Caenorhabditis elegans: one gene and its partner. The protein of the gene in region 2 purifies or fractionates together with the protein of the main gene of each other region. This does not show direct contact. Each region holds a gene or a part of one and is shown on either strand. Other genes may lie near its edges.

Region 1 (2,672 bases), on a different chromosome or scaffold from region 2:
CTTTTCACTATGAAATTAGGTATAGTTTTTGAATGGTATCATTTGAAATGTGCGATCACATATCGGGCGGCAGAAAACCGCCTAATTCTCCTTTTCCAGTGCGGGTGGAAAGATCATCGCAAGGCGGTTTAGCCTTAGTGTGATCGCATATCATTACAAATTATCACTTACCACTCGGAGAGCAAAAGTTAATCAGTTTTTAAATCAAAAAAAAAATCAACTTACTAAGGCGGGAAGTGGTCCGGGTGGCATTATCCTTTTGAAAATTGTCTGAAAATTGCGATTGTTGCAGTGAAAGTGGCACAAAAATACGTAGAATTCGAAATTTGAGTTGAAAAATCGAAAAAATCACCGGAAAAGCTCGAAAAATCGATGAAAACGCGATAAATTGACTTAAAAATGTCTTCTTTTTTTCGAAAATGCTTCCCCGTAAATCGAATCGTGGTGAGACCCACCGCACGTGACGCATGACCGCGACGCGTCTAACGGTGAGGAAACCCAAGAAATTTCTCGATTTTTGCTGAAAAAGCCTGTTTTCGAGCGAAATAACTCAGATTTTCGGCGAAAAAAAAAACACAAATTTATTCGAGATCCAAACGTATCAAACAAGAAATTTGCTCAAAATAGCTCAAAAAAGGGAAAAATATTTGGAAAATAAATCGAAATCAAAAAAAAGTTATTTCGTCGATGTGGAGATGTAGAGCACATTGTTCCCGCGGATGAACGCATCGCCGTACTTGTTCTGAAGTTGTCCGTTGCTGTATTCTTCGGTTTGTTCGAGCGCGATGTTCATATATCTGAAAAATTAGATTTTTTCGTAATTTTTCTGGAAGAAAAATTAATTTTCAGGTGTTTTTAATCAGATTTTTTGATTTTTCCCAATCACTAACCCGTCGAGACATGCGAGAATGCCACGGTAGTCGACGCCAGAGTTGAGCTTCACCACAACCGGCTTTCCGATGACTTTCTTCAGGAATTCGGCGGGATTCTGTCGTTTGCTCATTTTCTAGAGTGCTGAAATTGAGAAAAAATATTACTTTCACGGGTTTTTAGAGTAAAAATATGTTAAAATCAAGAGAAAAATGCGTTAAAATTGCGATTTTGCTTCAAAAAAAATTATTTTCTACAGTGTCCGCAAACACCGTGACGCAAAAATGCAGACTTGCGAAAAAAATGTTTTTTTCGGATTAAATCGACTTATTTTTTGAGAATTCAACTCTAAATCTGCAATTTTCCGAGACAATTTAGAAAAAAGAAGGCTTCATTTATAGAAAACAAAAATAGTTGAAAGTGCACTGTGATCAGCCTGTGTGTGTGTGTAATTGGACAAAAAAAACTGTTTCCAGACGAAAAAATATTGAGTATAACACAAATATGAATTGATAGCTGCTTGGGAAGGGCAAAAGTGTACATATAAATGCATTGAGAAAAGGACTAGTTGAGTCGGATTTTGAAGATTTTTTGTTTGAAAGAAGCGCCAAGATTTCGTGGTATATTTGATATGAATTTGAATTTTTCTAGGTTGGAAAATTGAGAAAATTGAGAAAAAAAATGGGGAAAAAATTATAGAAAATTAAAAAAAATTGACTAATTTTCTCCTTGTCCCGAATCCTCGTCATCATCATTATAGTCCGAGCCGCATTCGTCCTCGTCCTCCTCCTCTTCATCGTCGTCATAGTCACACCCGAAATCGTCGTCTGAAAAAAATCGATATTTAATTGAAAATTTGGCAAAAATCCGGGTTTTTAACTGAAAAATCCAATTTTCTCGGGAATTTTACAACTAAATTTGCGAAAAATAGACTTTTTTTTGAGGTTTTTGAGGTCACGGGGTTCTGACCTTCCTCATTGAATTTTTCGCGCTCCATTGACAATCGCCCGCCGGAAAACGTGTGGGAAAGTCGTGTACTCCACACGGACAAATACATTTAGTTTTACAACTAAAATCGAGCCGCGGCGCGACACGCAACGCGCCGTAAATCTACCCCAGATATGGTGGCCTGGACTAGTTCGGCAAAAACTCTTCCATTTCAATTTATAAGGGAAGCCAGAAATCCGTGAATTCGTGCGATTTCTGGCAATTTACCTGAAAAATCGGCAATTTTTTTTGAAAAAAGTGTATAATTTTGCGGATATTTCGACTAAAAACTGACAATTTTTGAATTTTACCAAAAATAGCCAGTTTTAGTGCAAAAAACGCAAAATATAAGACATTTTTAGCGTAGAAGATGAAATTTTTAGTCTTAATTCACTTTAGACATCAAAAATGTCGATTTTTATCATTTTCTGGCCAATGTGACTGTAAAATTCCCGTTAAAAAGCGCTATTTTACGCCAAAATCGCTCAAATTTCGAGAAAACCCTACTATAATCAATGTCGTCAAAGACATCATCCTGTTGTGGTGGAGCCCATTTCACACAGTACTCCTCAATCGTTTCGGGCACTTGAATTCCATCTTTCTGTGCGACTTTCTTCGACTCTTCCACCTGCTTCGTGACGATTTTCGCGTATTCCGGGTCCTGATCCTCCTTCCATTTACGGTACATCACTGACGCGTCGACGTTGGCCGGTGACGAGGTGTTCGGCTCGTTGAGCAGTGAGATGACCGAGAGAAGGATGGTTCGGACGCTTTGAGTCGGGTTCCAGCGTTCACACGCGAGCTCTCCACTTTGT
Region 2 (5,445 bases):
CTCCTTTTCCGGTGATCGATGACGTCGAACTTCAGGCGAACGTTGGCGATGATCCTGTGAACGTCTGACTGGTGAAATTGCTGAAGATCTGCGAATCGGCGACATATCTCTGCGTTGTGGATAATGAGCTGGATTTTGAAGACGGCGTCCGCCACCACCACTACCACCACGACCGCTAAATTGTGGTGTACGATGATCACGGAATGTTGGTCGACGATTGTCGTTCTGGTTCTGGAAAAAATGTTTATCGATTTTTACTTTATGCTTTTATTCTGGTAGGAAAGTTGAAAAACGCGCAAAAACTCTTGTTCAAAATTATCCTTTCCCCATTCTATTTAACTCACTCTGATACTGCTCATTTTGCAACTTCGATCCGTATATTCCGTTGAAATCGAGCACTGGAATATTTTCTGCAAGGTTATTTCTGTGAAATGGCAAAGTTCAACGAGGAAACGATATTAAAAAAAGAAATGTTAAACCGATAAACAAACGGTTGAAACACGAAAAAATACAATGACGTTGCAATTTGAATAAATGCATATTTAATACATTAACTATTAAAAACAAAGCAAATAAATATGTATAAATTTTCACAATATTTGAGAGGAAATTAGAGATCCAAAAATGGTAAAGAAACGATGGTATGAATACAAAACCGTCAAGGAAACAAGAAAAGAATGGAGAATAGTTTGGGAAAAATGATTTAAATGGGGAGAAGAAATGGTGGGGGGAAACGATGAGAATAACCAGTCAATACAACGCGTCAATGCAGAATATCGATTTGTGTGGAAATTATTGGGGAATCCAAATTGGTGCAAGTGGGGCCGCTTTCACATTTTCCAGATCAACGCGTTTGTCGAGTTCTTCATCGATTTCACCGATAATCGCTCTGAAAAATGATAGATTTTCAAAAAGAAACATTTGGAAAAATCTACAGTAGTTGCAGAATTGGTCTTTATATATATATACATCATAGCTTTAAAAGTTTAGTTTCAACTTTTGCAATGAAAAAGTGTTCCGATAATTTCTCCACCCCTCTCCAGAGGGAAACAGAACAGGTTCCGAACACTTTTTTCATGGAATCACATTTTCTTTGAACAAAGTTCGAACGGAATGAATTGAAAGGTGTGAAATTGTGAAAGTTTCGGACATTTGACGCATGTCTACATTAATCTTTTCCAGCTATATTACACTGACGAAAAGTGAGAAAAGATTTCATAAAATTGTGTTTTGAATGGGACATGAATAGGGCCAGAAGGGGTATCCTATCCAAAAATAAACTATTTCGAAATATGAGTATTTATCACTTGACATTTGGAGTGGAGTATAGAGAAGAGTGGTGTATCGGAAACGAAAAATCAATAAATATAATGAAACTAATCAGAAAACAATTAGGTATTGAACAGAGACTGGAAGAGCCAATTTAGAGACTTCAATAAAATAATCAATCGCATTCGCTCAACGAGGAGTTTTTTTTTTAAAGTTTTAGTTCGTTTGGAACTTAACTGAATATGTTTTAACTATAAGCGCTTTTCAGATAGAAACGACAAAGTAAAACTGAAAACTGAAAACCTAGTAAGCAAGTTGTGAAGCTCCGACATAGAATAGGAAAACGGATACTTTTTCAACATTTTTCCCATCGCGTTGTCCATTTTCGTATTCGTTCTCTCGTTCACTATAACTATTTCCCTCTTTCGTTGTTTTTTTTTGTTGCCGGCGAAAATGTGAAGAGTACAAACAAAATAAATTGCTGGTGCTGCTGCAAGGCTTCGGGCAATCATATTGGTCAAGCATCAAATTGTGATTGAGGGCGAGAAAATGCCGAACGATTGGAAGAGATGTTTTGACACGTCATGCTTCCCCGACTTTTCCGTGTTTCCGACCGTAACAGAGCACAAGAAACGACCAGTTGCTATGTTTTTAGACGGCTGCCGAAAGCTGAATGATCAAAGGAACAACAGAAGCACTTGATCTGGTTGTTATAGAACATCAGGTACCAGGACTACTTGCACCTTTCTTTTTTTTTTAAATGATGACTCAATGTTGACTGGCGAAGGTATGTCGACGGAACGTTATAGAAAATATTCAACTGGAAGAAATGAAGTAAAATCAATTTGATGTTTCTGAGATGATAACATTGACCCGTTTTGAAGTGAATTGAACGAGAAAATTCCATTCTCAGCACTGATAGTCAACGACCACAATTAAATCTTATCATCGCATGGGTGCAACATTATAAAAAACGGATGATTAATGTCATCGGAAAAGATTGAATCGAATAGAAAAAAAAACTCTTGATGATAATTGAAATTAGGTCGATCTGTTTTAACACAGAGAAACTATTCTAACGCGACAATTTAAAAAATCGATAATTCATTTGAAGCAATTGGTCCGTAGAGCACTCCAAAAGAAAGAACAGAAGAGAGAGACCGGGTGAAATAGAGAGTACATAATGACCAACGAGTTTTTAGATTCGAAAAGATTGAAGAATGGCGATAGAGCGAATTTGCAACAAGCAAGGCGATGTGAAGCTTTTTATAAGGTTTAATGGGGCGATGTGAAAAAAAAATCCAGATAAAATGCTCCAAATGTTCAACATTTGTACCCGGTCTTTTATTAAAAGTCCAACATCTCCTCTCAACAAGAGAAGACCATGGATTTTGAGCAATAAAAACTGTCTTGGTTTTTAACACTCTCGTACATGATCAAGAGCTTCTTTGCTGAAGCAGGCGGCTCCGCCACTACTCAATTGAAACAATTGGTCAGTTTTTCGATAATGTGCACGGAATGGAAGGAAAAGCATGCCGAGTCCAATGTTTTCGAGGGTTTGTTGATCGTTTGACCCACGGATTGGGTGGTACGGGAACTCGGAAGTAAAATTCATCGGAATAAATGAAGTAGATATTCAAGAAGAGACATTTCTAAACTCTTCATCAACAACTAATTTTAGTCGCAGAAAACCTATAAATTCCAAAAGCAGAGCACCGTGACAAGGTAAAATCGATTTTTAAATTATGTCCCGTCAATTTTCAACTTACACATTCTCTCCTCGAATAATATATAGTCCCAATGGTGTCGTGAGCACACCTTCCGTCTCAGAATACGACCTTTCGTGAGCATCTTCAATCACCAAGTTGATTAATTGATCGAATCCCTAAAATTGTATAATTGAATAAAATATTGAAATTTTAAAAGGTAACATAATTTAATTATTTAATCCGACACATAAGCTCAGTCTTTTTGAACAATTTCTTCAAAGTTGGGATTCAAAATCTCGTGTTTTATAATAATCAAGATGTGCTGCATTTTTGAAATTTCTTGACAAAGGCTCGAACCTTTGTCGCCAAGTGCAGAAGCAACATTTCTTTCTAGATATTTTACCTTCAGAAGTCCAACGATAACCCGACCATCACCAGTGACCACGTTCACCATCCGATTCATGTACGCATCTAGAGTTGAAGTCATATTTTATCTGAAAATTGACTTCTAAATATTGAAGTTTATTGTTCCCAAGTGAGATATTTTTCACGGCAACCCACCTGTTCGCATTCAATTCATGAAGCATAAAAATTTAATGATAATATAAGAACAACTAGTCCTCAAAAATTTCATTCTCAGCTTAATATCAACACAAATGTTTGACATGAATCTATCATACATTAAAAACGAATGTGACAACAAATAACATGTCAAACGAAGAGGCAGTTATTAGAATCGGTTGGGGGGGGGCTTTTGGGAGCGAATTTACGGGTGAGATTGGCAAAAAACGAAGGAGAAAAAGGGAGAAGCTTTTGTTGGGTGGCTGGGTGTTGTGAGATTAGACGAAGACGGGACACCTGACGATTCATCAGATACACTTCAATGAGATGAGGGAAATTAACAACTAACTGCACAATTCAATGTGAATATACTTGACAACTACAGTGAATTGCACAGTCTAATTGGTTACCAGTTCCTGAACAAAGGAAAAAGCACCATAACAACAACTAAAAGACAAAAATTGGGGGCGAAGCATACAGACTTTAGGGAAGAGAAGTAAAAATACAGTTTGTTTTCTGCCGCAGAATCGCTCAAAGAAAAAACGAGCGAAACAATTAAAACAACAAAAAATGACTGAAAAAACTGATGGAAATAAAGTACTTCTACACATCTAAAAAGGCGGGTGGATAAAGTATTATGTTCACAAGAACATCATCTAAAACAACAAAAGTATGTTATTATTATTCCTGGAGTTATTCAAATCAAAGATTACCAACGGAAAAAAGTTGAGAGTCGATGATAGTTTGGGTGAGAATCAGAGAAACAAAACAAACTGGTTCGATATAAAATTCAACCTCGGGAACAACACATCTCAGATCGTCATTGCCAAAAAAGGAATTAAAGAAAAACGCGCGTTAGAAATTTAGGGTCGATTTGTAACTGCTTTTGATTGAGTCTGGGCGTGAGGACAAAACAATTTGGACATTTTTTGAAAGATTAGGTAGGAAGGAAACAGGAATTCTGAAGAGGACTGTGATGGAGGCATTTCAGATGGTGATTGAGGTGATGTTCTGAAGGCACATTTAGAACTGTTGGGCTTGAGCAGTTTGTTGTTGTGGCTGCTGTTGGAAGCGTGGTTGGCCATTGTTGCCCTGTCTGGCTCCTTGAGCTTGTTGGTAATCGAATCCACTGTTATTTCCTGCAAAACCTGATAGAATAAGTATACTGATGCATTCCTTGTGGAATGAGTCACAAGACATGGAATCAAATAGTAACAAAACTAACTCTGGTATCCGCTTCCGTAACCTTGCGATGATCCGCTGTTGTTGTGATGTGCTGCACCTTGTTGGCCGTAATAACCGTTTCCGTACCAGTCTCCCCAAGCTGCTCCAGTAGCTCCGTATGGCATAGCTCCAATTTGTCCCCATCCAGCATACCATCCCGAGTTGTTATTTCCACCACGTCCACCATACATTCCGCGACCACCTGGCATACGCCCTTGGGCGCCTGGGAACCGTTTTCCTTGTGGAACTGCTTTTTTCACGTCACATTCGCGAGTTCCGAAGGTCTGTTTTGTCTGGGAAGATGCTTTGTCTGCGGACTCCTCCTCCTCGAATACGATAAAAGCGAAGTTGCGACGAGCCTTGGTCTGCTTATCGAATGGCCATTCAATGTCGTCGACCTTGCCGAATTGTTCGAAATGAGAGCGAAGATCTTGCTCGCTGTAGTCCGATGGGAGTCCTCCAACAAACACCTTCTTGTTTTCCCTCGATTTTGCTGGCTTTACCTCGACCTATAACAAGAAATATGTTTATTGTCAATTGAACTTATATCTTTTTAGTGCCATTTAAGTAGGCGAGGAAAAAAAACAAGAACTCACAGATTTTCCCTTGATGGTTTGTTCGCGAGCAGCAAGGGCCAATTTACAGCCCTCTCCAGTGGTGAACTCGACAAATGCGAACCCTC

The links.
Region 1: the proteins of lsm-8 (region 2) and lsm-6 fractionate together in Caenorhabditis elegans (co-fractionation; one large-scale study listed by BioGRID). This does not show direct contact.

Annotation. Positions count from the first base shown.
Region 1 is NC_003279.8:1,699,703-1,702,374, reverse strand, and holds lsm-6 (U6 snRNA-associated Sm-like protein LSm6), read right to left. Parts: upstream 1,015-2,672; 5' UTR 1,004-1,014; coding exon 891-1,003; intron 798-890; coding exon 677-797; 3' UTR 567-676; downstream 1-566. Other genes in the region: Y71G12B.13 (RING-type domain-containing protein), read right to left, coding at 226-252; ubc-3 (UBC core domain-containing protein), read right to left, coding at 1,588-1,697, 2,365-2,672.
Region 2 is NC_003282.8:6,324,553-6,329,997, reverse strand, and holds lsm-8 (U6 snRNA-associated Sm-like protein LSm8), read right to left. Parts: upstream 3,473-5,445; 5' UTR 3,466-3,472; coding exon 3,382-3,465; intron 3,155-3,381; coding exon 3,039-3,154; intron 890-3,038; coding exon 793-889; 3' UTR 519-792; downstream 1-518. Other genes in the region: Protein seu-1, read right to left, coding at 1-231, 345-359; sqd-1 (RRM domain-containing protein), read right to left, coding at 4,563-4,687, 4,765-5,272, 5,360-5,445.